Linked DNA regions of Kluyveromyces lactis. The protein of the gene in region 2 interacts with the protein of the main gene of each other region in a pairwise test. Links are inferred from orthologs where the notes say so. Each region holds a gene or a part of one and is shown on either strand. Other genes may lie near its edges.

What was found.
Region 1: the proteins of NAP1 (region 2) and KLLA0_F17006g interact in binary tests that used the Saccharomyces cerevisiae proteins (3 or more experiments, as listed by UniProt). The link is inferred for Kluyveromyces lactis from reciprocal best matches to the Saccharomyces cerevisiae genes NAP1 and RIM11.

What each region holds. Positions count from the first base shown.
Region 1 is NC_006042.1:1,559,998-1,564,716, forward strand, and holds KLLA0_F17006g (serine/threonine protein kinase RIM11), read right to left. Parts: upstream 3,110-4,719; coding exon 1,862-3,109; downstream 1-1,861. Other genes in the region: KLLA0_F16962g (uncharacterized protein), read right to left, coding at 1-1,193; KLLA0_F17028g (uncharacterized protein), read right to left, coding at 3,910-4,428. UniProt on the Saccharomyces cerevisiae protein: Serine/threonine protein kinase that is thought to function in regulating kinetochore activity and entry into meiosis. Could phosphorylate IME1.
Region 2 is NC_006041.1:1,340,270-1,347,684, reverse strand, and holds NAP1 (histone chaperone NAP1), read left to right. Parts: upstream 1-3,188; coding exon 3,189-4,442; downstream 4,443-7,415. Other genes in the region: DUF5427 domain-containing protein MTC1, read right to left, coding at 1-612; ALB1 (Alb1p), read left to right, coding at 1,273-1,755; ribulose-phosphate 3-epimerase RPE1, read right to left, coding at 1,892-2,605; PLN1 (Pln1p), read left to right, coding at 5,304-6,164; KLLA0_E15005g (M20 family metallopeptidase), read left to right, coding at 6,661-7,415. UniProt on the Saccharomyces cerevisiae protein: Acidic protein, which assembles histones into an octamer (in vitro). Involved in the regulation of the localization and the function of the septins during mitosis. Involved in the function of B-type cyclins.

The DNA.
Region 1 (4,719 bases), on a different chromosome or scaffold from region 2:
AGACCAATAGCTGAGGTACCAGATTCAGAAATAATAACGTCACCTTGTTTTAGCCATGTAGACATCTTAAACCAAAGGTACTCCTGTCGCAAAAATGTCACCGGTTGCGGTTCTACTCTGGGTATCATATTCGGTATTGTTACTGGACGAGAGTTTACTATTTTGGTAGTATCTAATGACGCTATTAGCTGTGGGAGTAGTTCATGAAGTAAAATATCAGGTATTATATTATTTTCAATTTTAACTCTATCATTCCAAAGTAAGATTTGGTTTTTACTCTTGTAGTTGAATCTACAGTACGAGTTTTTGAAGTTTTCGATCATACATCCTAAAATTAACGTACAATCTGCATTATTCATATATTCTCGAACAATGGGCTGTGACATGGTACCTAAGAAAGTCCCAACAAAGTTGGGTAAGCTTTCGTCAATAGAACCTTTTGACATTAAGGTTGTCACAAATGGTATTCCTGTTTCCGTTAGGAAATTTTGTATTGTGCTGTTGTAATTATATCTATCAATTAATGCATCAACCACGATCAATGGCCTTGATGAAGCGTAAACTTCGGCAATGATTTTGTCTATAACCCTCTTTATTGTGTCCGTTTGAAAGAAAGTGTTCTTTATGCCCATCTTATCTGCTATGTTTCCGTTTAGAGAACTACTGGGGACAAGTTTCGTGGCATCCTTCGATCGGAGGCCCATATAAACAGGGCGTTTCCCCCAAAAAAGCGTTCGTACACAACTGTCTATCTCAGAAGGATCATCCACTACGTCATGAAAGATTGAAACATCTCCAATCAACCTCTCAAGATCATGAGACTGTTCCAAGACGACTACCTGTAAGATGGGAACATATTCACAAAATGATCCAAAAAAACCATTAACATGGCCTAATTCTGCAGATTCGCTAGTGACGTAGCAGCTCACTCCGATAGCTCTCCCGTATGCATCTACTGCAAATGATGTGTTCAATTGATTTATCGTTTGGATCCACTGTATCCCGCTGGCTGCTATGGCTTGATATAGTTTCGCAGTTGAATAATTGGCAACTCCAAACACAGTACGGCAGTTGAGCTGAAATAATCTATGAAAAAGATACTCAGGCAAAGGTATTAGCGGTGCGACATTATACCTCTCAGTATAGCTCATCTCCTTAGCAGCCCCTGAGTGTATCAGGGTCTTGGTTTCCATCTTTTTGTCCGTCCCAGTATATTCCTGTTAAACTTTTAATTCGACTTCTCTTCAAGGAAAATCAATTTTGTCAAGTTAGTTCTTGTACAGGAAAATGTGACAAAGAAAATGCAAAGTTACACGATGGACAAAAGGTAACAGTAGTTTTTAAGTACTCAATCGCACGCACGTCATGTGGCTCTTAATAGGTGAGTATTGATATTATTATGAACTGACAAGGTGAAATCCGGTATGAAAAAGGTAGGACGGAAGCTAGAAAGAAAAGTATTGCTATAAAAGGAAGAATTATGATGTCCAAGTGCCCTTTTCCTAGTGAGGAATAGGGAATGCTTAACATAAATAAAAAGAATCCACTGCCCAATATGAACACTATTAGGGACAGGATAGAACTATAGGTTTTCCGAAAGACATTGAAATGAACTTTAAAATTGAAGAGAAATATGATATGCAAAGGGGGGGAGCGTAGGATAGCATTGAACAACGGTGTTGCCTGCAACAAGTAGGCATATGAGAAGTAACTATTTGTATGCACATTAATTTCGTGTATTAATTTCATTTTCTTTGGATGTGCTGGGTAGAACGTTACATTAATGCATTTGTATTTGCATATTTCCTTCTCTCAACTAGTCTTTTTTTTTGTTTTTAGTTTTCCTTTTGTCTTGTCGGTTCTATATCAGTTTGCCAGTCAATCTATATATATCGTTAGATGACAACCCTTGTAATTCACTTTCCTCAAAATGTAGCAATGGTAAAGAATCGATCAACGAAAGGTTTGAGTCCGACCCGGTGTTGCTGACGATATCAGTGAAGTACGTCGAATTGAACATACATTGTAAAGCGCTGTATCTGATATTAGGATCATATTTCATGATATGGTATAATAAGTCTATAGTTTCCTGTGTTTCCTTCTTGAAGATCCTATTCAATGGGATCGGTCTGATCTGAGGGAACTTATGTTCGGAGTAGTTTTCATTCATGGAACAGATCTCTTCCCTGGTTGGTGTACCCAAAACTTTAATAATTTCAACCAATTGATCGATCTTAGATTCACCAGGGAAAATGGGTTGTCCTAATAGCAGTTCAGCCATAACACAACCTGCAGACCAAATATCAATCTTTGTTGTGTAATTGGTAGCACCAAAGATCAACTCTGGGGCTCTGTAGTAACGGGAGCAAATATATGACACATTGGGCTCGTTTGGTTTCAACTGTTTAGCAGACCCCAAATCACAGATTTTCAACAGTAAAGTATCTGGATCCACCAAAATATTCTGTGGTTTGATGTCTCTATGGCAGACATTGACCACTTGATGCAAATAGTTTAAAGATTTGAACAATTGGAACATGTAAATCTTGATTTCGTAACGATCCATTGGTTGATGCAAGGAAATGAACTCTTTGAGCCGTTGATAAAGAGACATGGGCATGTAATCTACAATCAAATTTAGATAAAGTTCTTGGTCCGATTGTTCAAGGAAATAGTACTTCAAATCGATCAAATTCGGATGACTGATCAATTTCATGATCTCCAGTTCTCTATTCTTAAACCGTCTATCCTGTAGAACCTTCTTAATGACAACATCCTCCCCAGTCTCTTTCACTTTTGTTCTGAAAACGACACCAAACGAACCATTTCCCACAATTTCAGGTGTGCCGCATGAAATAACAACTGACTCCTCGGGGTTGGAATGGCCTTTCACCACAGTCCTTCGGGTTATTACTTCGTCTTCATCTGGAACGATTTTAACATCATTACCATGACTGTTCTTACTATGAAGACTGCCTTGTTTTAAATCATCACTGGGTAAAATGGAATCCATCTCTGTCTCAAAACCAGCGTTTTTATCGTTAGTATATGCAATAATAGATCTTGAACCACCGGCACCGCTACTTTCGAGCAATTCACCAACTTTCATTCAAAAAAAAAAAGGAGTATTGTACTAAAACTATGCTGACATGCACACTTTTCTCTGAATCCTTTCTCTCTCACAACAGATAAGAAGTGATTGATCTGTCTGTGTGTGTTAATTGTTATATGCGAAGTCTTGTTCTTGGTGTTCTTTTTTTTTTACCTTAAATTTCACCAAATTTTCCAAAAACTTCAAACACGCAACGTCTTCTAAGACCAGTAAAATAAAATATTCAGCACACGCACTCACAAACACACGCGCACACCGATTCAAAATATTATGCGGGGGGGAGAGAATCAGGTTAAAAACAACAGTTTTATCGTCTTTCTTGTCTGGCTCAATGAAAAATTTTCCAATGTCCTCATGTCTTTCTCAAAGTTTTATTCAGACAATAAATACTAAGCGGAAAGAGTAAACTAAAACTGCTTGCAAATTGCTTTGTTAGTCCAGACATTTATTGTATCGAATCAGCTTACTGGAAAATTGAAGGAGAGAGAAATCGAAATAGTTTTTTTTTTTTTGCCTGAAAGCATGACTGGGTTGAGAGCCTTCCCTTGTATATGCGTAGAAAGCAAGAAAAGTGTTTTGTCTGACAGAATAATCTAGGAACTGACTAGCCAGACTACTGAACAGTTTGCCCCTTCGTAGTATTACTTAATAGGAAGAAGATTGCTTGTTCAAATAGTATAGTTTTTCCTGGAACCGGATGCCAGGGAAAAGTGGAAGTTCGTGAGTACTTCTCCGTTAGTCCGATCACATCCAGGAAACCAAGCAGGGAAGCCACTCAGGGGCCACCTAGGCAGGGATCAAGGACAAATGGAGCAAAGGGTGCCGATAGGGAAAGGGGGTCGGAAAAAAAGTTCCAAATTGAAAATTGTATACATACTTGTTACCCGACGTGATGGGGCGGCGTTATTGCCGGTAATTTGTTTGTGGGGCGGAACGGTAGACGAAGCTTTGGATGTCACGTGTTTAGCATTTTTGTCAGAGGAAGCCGTTGTTGTCGATGAAGACGACGGTGATGAAATGTCAGACGCAACGATGGATTCCATCGCTACATCATGTACCAATTTCAGTTCGTCTTCCAAACTGAGCTGTTTCACAACGAGCTCGACATCGAGCTCTTCTGTGTATCTGTCATGACAAGGTAGTGCACCGGCAGCTTTATCCTTGCTCTTGCTCTTGGCCTTGCCGTTCTGTCCAGTTTTCTTGTCGACAACAACTGGTACTTCGGCTACCACTTGTGGACCAGACTTGCGTCTGGTCCACGTGATGCCCTCAGGATTGTATGTTGGATGAATCTTATCTCTAATCTTTTTGAACATCTTTCGTCTGTATTGCTGGTGGTTACGACTGGTCGGGGTATGGCTTTTCTCGTTCTTGGTGAAGTCATCTAAACGATGGAGTTTATCAACCTCTGGTGTTATATACGCGTGAATTATTTACACAAATTTTTCATCACTACTGTAAATTCATTTATCAGACACAAATGTCGTGCAAGTAATATGTCAACTGTGGTTTGTGCTGCTTGCTTCTCGTAATCGCTTTCCACTCTGTGCATTAAGGTTCTTAAGAAATGAAAAAAAAAGCTGGAGATATGGGGGAGAATGTCCAAT
Region 2 (7,415 bases):
CAAATTGTGTAAATCATGAACCAAATGAATTCTGATCACTTCATCCGTTTCACCAATGACAATCTTAGTCAATTGTGAAGTAAGCCCAGAAATGACATGAGACCCCTGCAATGCCGTTAATCTGGCCCCTATGTCGTTTATTTTCAAGTTGCCCTCTTGAGTAGCTATCTTCTCTTTCAATTGATTGGCTTGTTCTGTGGTCTTGTTCCAGAAACTGGATACTGTAGCAGAACCGCTAGATGACCACCAATTGGAAATTGACGCCAGTGGGTCCTGAACTGCCTCTTCACCTTCTTCTGCCACATGTTCTTCTTTTCCTTTCTGTTCACTCGGTTTCTCTTTACTGGCTGTCTCTTCTACAGGTTTCTCGTTCGATTCTGGCTTCTCCTCCGGTTTCTCTTTCTCTTGCTTCTTAGAGGATTGTGGCTTGTCCTTTTTGGACGGTTTCTTCTTAATATCCAGGTTACTATTTTCCAATTCGTCTAAGAATTCCATAATATCCTCATCCTGGCCGCCGTTCCCACTAACCTTACCCTTTCCCTTAGTGTTATTAGCAGTACTGGCTGGTAAAGAGTCTAAAAACTCTAGCACATCATCGGCATCACTAGTCATTTGGTGTTTTCTTTTTAAGTCTTTACTGTCGATAAAACTTGAATATTGATACGAATTGTTCAATCAAGAATCGATATATTCAAACTAGAAAATTATCGCTGAAAGGCAAGACAAAACTCCAACGGTTGAACTTAAACTAGCCTCCTAATCCTTGTGAACACAAGTATATAGTTTCTATCCTTTCTCTATTGTCATGGTTCCAACTACCGTGTGTTTTTTTCATGTATTGGTCCATTCTAAGGGTGGGTCGTATTTAAATATCCGGGTAACTATGTCACTTTCATTACCATGAAATAACGCTGGTATACATAAAGTGAGCAGTTAGCCGAAATGTAATGAGCACCGTGGCCTTTATCACCACCTATTCTTACCCCTTCCATAGATGGTGCTCTCCAGTACCAATGTCGGCATGTCTTGGCTTAAATCTTAGCATTTTTCATTAACTAATACCGTATCTATTTTGTACTGCCGTTTCTTTTCTAAAATTTTTCATCTCATCTCATCGCGAATCTGTTGAAAAGTTAATGCATCTCCATACCATGTACTTGATCCCCCGTTACTATTCACCTGTGCTAGCTATCTTGTTACTTGTTACTCTTAGTACTGGCTAGTATTCCTGGAACTACAAGTTAACGGTTAATCACAGTACTAAAATTCGAGATGCCATCTAAGAACTCCATTAACAGGCCAAAGCAAAAGGTTAACTTGAACCGTAAGGTTCATCAACGTGCTGCCAAGAGAGATGCTATGGAAAAGAAGGGTTTATTGGCACCAGCAAGATCTTCAGGAACATCTAAATCTGGTCAGTTGAAGAGTATACCATTGGATCTTTACAAAGGCGAGCATTCGACCTCTGGTGCTCTTACGACCAAGACTCTTTCGAAGAAAAGAGCAAAGAAGATCGAACGTAACTTGAAATACGTGGAACAAAGAAAACTATTAGTTGATCTACAATCTCAAAGTGAGGAAAACGGTGGTATGCAGATTGATGCGCCTGTTGTGAAGAAGGAGAAGGAAACCAAGAAAGGACAATTGGAAAAGATGAGAGAGGCTATTTCCACGGTGTTGGAAGATATTCAATCTCAAGGTTTATCCCTTCAGACAGGTTCTGGTACAACTCTAGGTGGTCAGTATTTCTTGTAGAGAGTCTTAAAAATCGTTAAATGGGGTTTGCATTGTCTATATAAACATTTTGTATACTAGGATAGATCTTAAACGGATCGTTCATTAAATATTATTCTGACATAAAAAAGAGTGCGTATATGTACTTAGGTACTTACTACTTTTCGTATAAACCTTTGGTCACTAATGCATCATTGACCTTGGTTTTCATAAATCCAATGACATCTGCTGGGTCGTGCGCGCGGAACACAGAGGTACCGGCAACAATGACATTGGCACCTGCCTCGGCAGCAAGTTCGACATTCTGTTTACCAAGACCACCATCGACTTGAATGTTCAAATTAGGAAATCTAGTTCTCAAGTCCTTCACTTTGCTCATCATATCGGCCATGAATTTTTGGCCACCGAAACCCGGTTCGACAGTCATTACAAGAGCCATATCCAGGGATGGTGCCAACTCGTACAACACATCCACAGGGGTACCTGGCTTCACAGAACAGGCAGCCTTCATACCATGCTTCTTAATTAGCTTAACCAACGCTACCGGGTCCTTTGTAGCCTCGTAATGGAATGTGAACTGATCGCAACCGATCCTAGCAAAATCTTCGACCCATCTTTCAGGTTCACTAACCATCATATGACAATCGAAGAATGCTCTTGGTAACTTGGTGTCTGGATCGTTGTACTTTCCGATAACTTTACGTAGCGATTCGACAACCGGTTGTCCCAATGACATATTAGGAACGAAGTGACCATCCATAATATCGATGTGTAACCAATCGGCACCAGAGTTAATCACATTGTGACATTCACAACCTAATTTAGTGAAATCACTGGCTAGAATAGATGGGGCAATAATAGCACGAACCATGTTAAAATTGAAACTTATTATAGTTTTGTAAACTGCTGACCTTAAACTCGAACAGGTAATGGTAAATCGTATTCTATAATGAGCAGAGCAGACCGTTAATTGGGTAGTTGGTTCTTGTTTGAAAAGAATTCCCTGCTGCTTTTTCTAATTTTATTGCATTCTTTATAAAACTGAAATTCTGATATCCAAAGAAAGCGACTATTGAGAGAAAGAAGAGGGGATCAGGATTACTTCAGAGTATTTTACAGCTCAAGATTCATTATATAATGTACCGTTGATATCAGGAGTGCTTTATTCCGAGTTTTTTTACCAGGAATTGGTACGATTTAGTCCTTTGAATTGGCATACGGTTGCAGTATTTGCATGCTTCCGTGATCTATTTTAATATGTAAGGAATATATAAGAAGAGCATTTTTTAGCCAGAAAATTTTCTTTCAGTAGGAAACGTAACAGCTTGGAACATCTGATCGTAGAGGTAGTGGGCTATTTGTGATACTTGGAGTGTTGCAGCAGGATATTTGAACTACATTAGCTGTATACATTTGAGTGTATTTGGCAAAATAGTAAGGATCACATCATAAAAATGTCCAACCCTATCAAGACATCGAGGTCGAGTAAGATCGATAATGCACCAACGCCTCATAACACACCAGCTAGCGTGCTTAAGGATTCATATTTAAGGAAGAAGCAACAGCAGCAGTCTGACCAGGATCAAGATCAGGATGACGATAGCGAATACAACGAGAGTCCATCTTTATCCCGGATCAATGAAAAGTTGGAGTTCTTGAACATAGACGAAGAAGATGAGGGTGAAGAAGAAGAAGAAGAGGAAGAGGAAGAAGGCGATGAAGAAGCTTTCGAAAGACTCCCAAAAGCTGTGAACAATAGGATCTTAGCCTTAAAGGCTATTCAGTCCGATTTGTTCGAATTGGAGAAGAATTTCCAGCTTGAAATGTTGGAACTTGAACAAAAATATCTGCAGAAATACAAACCATTACACGAACACCGTTACGAGTTGATCACAGGTGATAAGGAAGCCACTGAAGAAGAAATCAAACGCGGGGGATCTTTGGATGGTGAAGATGAGCATGAAGAAGAAGAGCATGACCAGGAACCGGAGGAAGGTGAGGAAGAGATCGTTGGTGTCCCTTGTTTCTGGTTGACAGCCATGGAGAACTTACCAATGGTTTCTCAAAACGTGACAGAAGCTGACTGTGATGTATTGACATACTTGACGAACATCACTCTAGAGTATCTAACTGAGGGTAAACCAGGCTTCCAATTGATTTTCACCTTCGATAAAGAGAACGAATTCTTCACTAACGAAACTTTAACAAAGACATACTACTACCAGTCCGAATTGGGTTACTCTGGCGACTTCATCTATGACCATGCAGAGGGTGAAACCATTAACTGGGTCGATAATGACCATAACGTTACAGTCGAAGTGAAAAGACGAAAACAAAAGAACAAGACTACTAAACAAATTCGTACCATTGAAAAGCTGACACCAGTGGAATCGTTCTTCAACTTCTTTGACCCACCAAAGTCTCTGGATCCCGAAGAAGAAGACGATCTTGACGAAGAAGAAATCGCTGAACTTGAGAGTAGATTGGCTGTAGATTATGCTATCGGTGAAGAGATCAAGGACAAGTTGATTCCAAGGGCAGTGGATTGGTTCACCGGTGCAGCACTAGAATTAGAATACGGCGATGAACAAGAAGAAGACGACGATGAATTTGACGATCAGGACGGTGAAGAAGAGGAAGAAGAGGACGACTTCGCTAATAAAGATGCTCTGAAGAAAGTCCAACCTCCAGAATGCGAGCAATCCTGAAAGAGATTTTTTTTTTCACATCCACCGATATATAGTAAGCAGTGGTTATCAAAAGTATTTACTCTCTATCTAAACATCACCCTAAGCTGTGGCCTTGCATCAATCTACTCAACGCATGTTCCAGATACGGACGGTGCCTGGCATGCATACAATTTGTGCGCGGTTTTCCACCTGTTCTTATTTTAAGCAGGTGGAAATATATGGCCATAAGGTCTGGACATGCACATCATGTGGTGTCAAAGTCAAACGGAAGTAACGGTCTAACGGTCTGAACCCCTGAAGGCCCCGTTACCAGTAAGAAAAATGGGCTGAAAAGGCACAACTAAGAGCCCTAAAGACAGCAAAAGTGTATAGCAAAAAGAACTACGAGCAGATTACGAATGAAAGTACATAGGGAGCAAGTCTGTTTATTGCTTACTTTTTGGGTAATAGCAAGGAATGGTGACAAGACTACTGGCAAGGCACGAAATAATCCGTGGATCTAGAAACATATCTGATCTACATATTCCTTCCGGATTAACATGGCAATGTTAATCGCAGTTGAAACACCAACTACGTTAGCCCACTGTATCCTTCAGTTTCGTTTTGGTTTCTATCTCTGCCTCTTTTTCTGCATTGAATTCAAATTAAGGAAAACTTGTGATAATGTTTTAGAGACTGACTATAAATAAAAGGCATTGCTTTGAGTTTCAAAGGGATACGAACCTATTACATATAAATATATATTTATATCAGTTTATTAAGTTTGTAGAACTGCAAAGTACTTTTAAAGGCGAAATAGAGTTGTGCAGTTGTTGTAAACCAGGGAAATCTATCGTTTTTATCCATTAGAACCAAATACAGTACAAAGATCCTTTAAAAATGACAGGCCCAGTTAAAAAGCAAAGGTCCCGCTCCTCTTCTTCAGTTAGACTTGTTGTTGATAAACCATCTACTGATAAATTTGCTACACAGTATGCTACTATCAATCATTTGAACAAGTATCCGACGTTGATAAAGTGGCTTAATGCCTTGTTGAGCTTGTCTTTGGTGTCAAATATAATTTCTACCATTTCCCTAATTTTGTTCCAGTTCAGGATCAAAGTCATCGAGTCTCCAAAGACCCCAACGTTCGTGAAAAGATCGTTCAACAGATCAGTTGCCATTGTCAAGAAGTTGGACGAATTCATCAACACCTTGGTGTTCAGAGAAGGTATTGATACGTTCGTTGAAGAATACCATGACCATGGGAAGTTAGGTGTATGGGTGGCATATTTCGTAGTAGACTATACTGCTAATGTGGTGAACTATACAGTGAAAGAATTGATTTTGAGACCCTTGTCTTTAATCAAGGATGAGACGCATCCATCTTCTAGTGGGAAATCTGTTGACTTGCCCCATTTCAAGGAGTTGGGAAACACTACCAAGGATGTATTGGAGCCTACTAAAGAGAAATTTGTTGCCAGGTATGATAATCTGGTGAAGCCAGCTAAGGATGGTTATGAACAAGCCATTTCCACGGCAAAGGAAACATATTCAACTGCCTACAAGACTGTTTCCGATAAATACGACACGAACTTCAAGGAAACTGAATCCGTTCCTAGAGCTATCTTGACTACAGGGTCAGATTTGGGTTCATTGACCATTGAAAAATTGAAGAAGTACAACGGTGTCGGTGATGAGTCAAATACAACTGTCGACACAGAAACCTCCGTCAAAGGTTTGAAAGGTCTCTCTACCTGAAACCAGAAGCAACTTCTGCGTTTGTTTGTGCTTTTTTTTTTTTCACTGCCAAGACCATTCTTAAATGTCATTTATGCAACCAAGTGGTTCCAAGAAGCTAGTTTGTTGCTTTTTCCCTCGGCCTCTATCACTATGTATGGATAATAGATAAGGATACGATGCAAACTATGATATCGACTAAGCAGCAGGAGAAACACCAAGCTTTAAAATATTCAAGAACTCTGTATGGCTGGCTCTGTACGTTATATTTTACAAACTAATCAAGACTATTATATTCTATTATATTATACCCCACGTCCTCTTTTATATAACCCTTTTGGCAATGCAGAACCTTTGAGTTTCGACCAGATATATTTATGTACAGCTAGTATAAATTAAATATCCTTAATGAGGTTTGTGCTATTATTACAGCAAAGAGAGAGAAGACTCAGAATTTGAAGCTTTGACGTTGTAAACGGTATCGTAGAAAGAGCGACTGGTTTTTATCGAGTAAACAATGGGTATTAAGGAGAATCGTGACGTTCATATTTCTAATTTAAGGCTAAAGGCCTTGGCTGTGGTGACAGTTTTGTTGTTTTTATGTGGTTTGCATTTATCCAGATGGTCAAGGACCTTGAAAGATAATCAGACTGCAAGTGAACCATTGTGTCCAAACGCACCAAATTTGAAACCGCCTTCATACATCAATGATAACTCGACCTTGGAAATGATCACACACGATGTCGAATATCGTAGCGATGCCGTTGAGAAACTATTAGGATCCGTTAGAATTCCTACTGAATCGTATGATTCTCATCTAGATCCTATTGAATTTCCTAAGGTATATGAAAACTTCACAGTGTTACATGACTATTTCCGTAAGACGTACCCTGCAGTGCATAAGACTTTGAAACTTGATGAAACTAAATACAAATACAATTTGGTTTACGTTTGGGAGGGGAAAGATGCTAGTTTAAAGCCTTTAGTTTTAGCAGGACATCAAGATGTCGTGCCTGTCAATGCAGAAACCATAGATCAATGGGGGTATCCACCATACAATGGTACGTTTGATGGCGAGAATCTTTTCGGTAGAGGTGTTGCTGATTGCAAAGCTTTGGTCAATTCGGTTTTTGAATCAGTGGAATTATTAATTAAGGGCGGATTCCAACCAAAGCGTACTGTGATCTTGGCATTTGGATTTGACGAAGAAGTTGGTGGCGGATATGGTGCCCAGACCATAAACGAGCACCTTATGGACAAATATGGCACTGA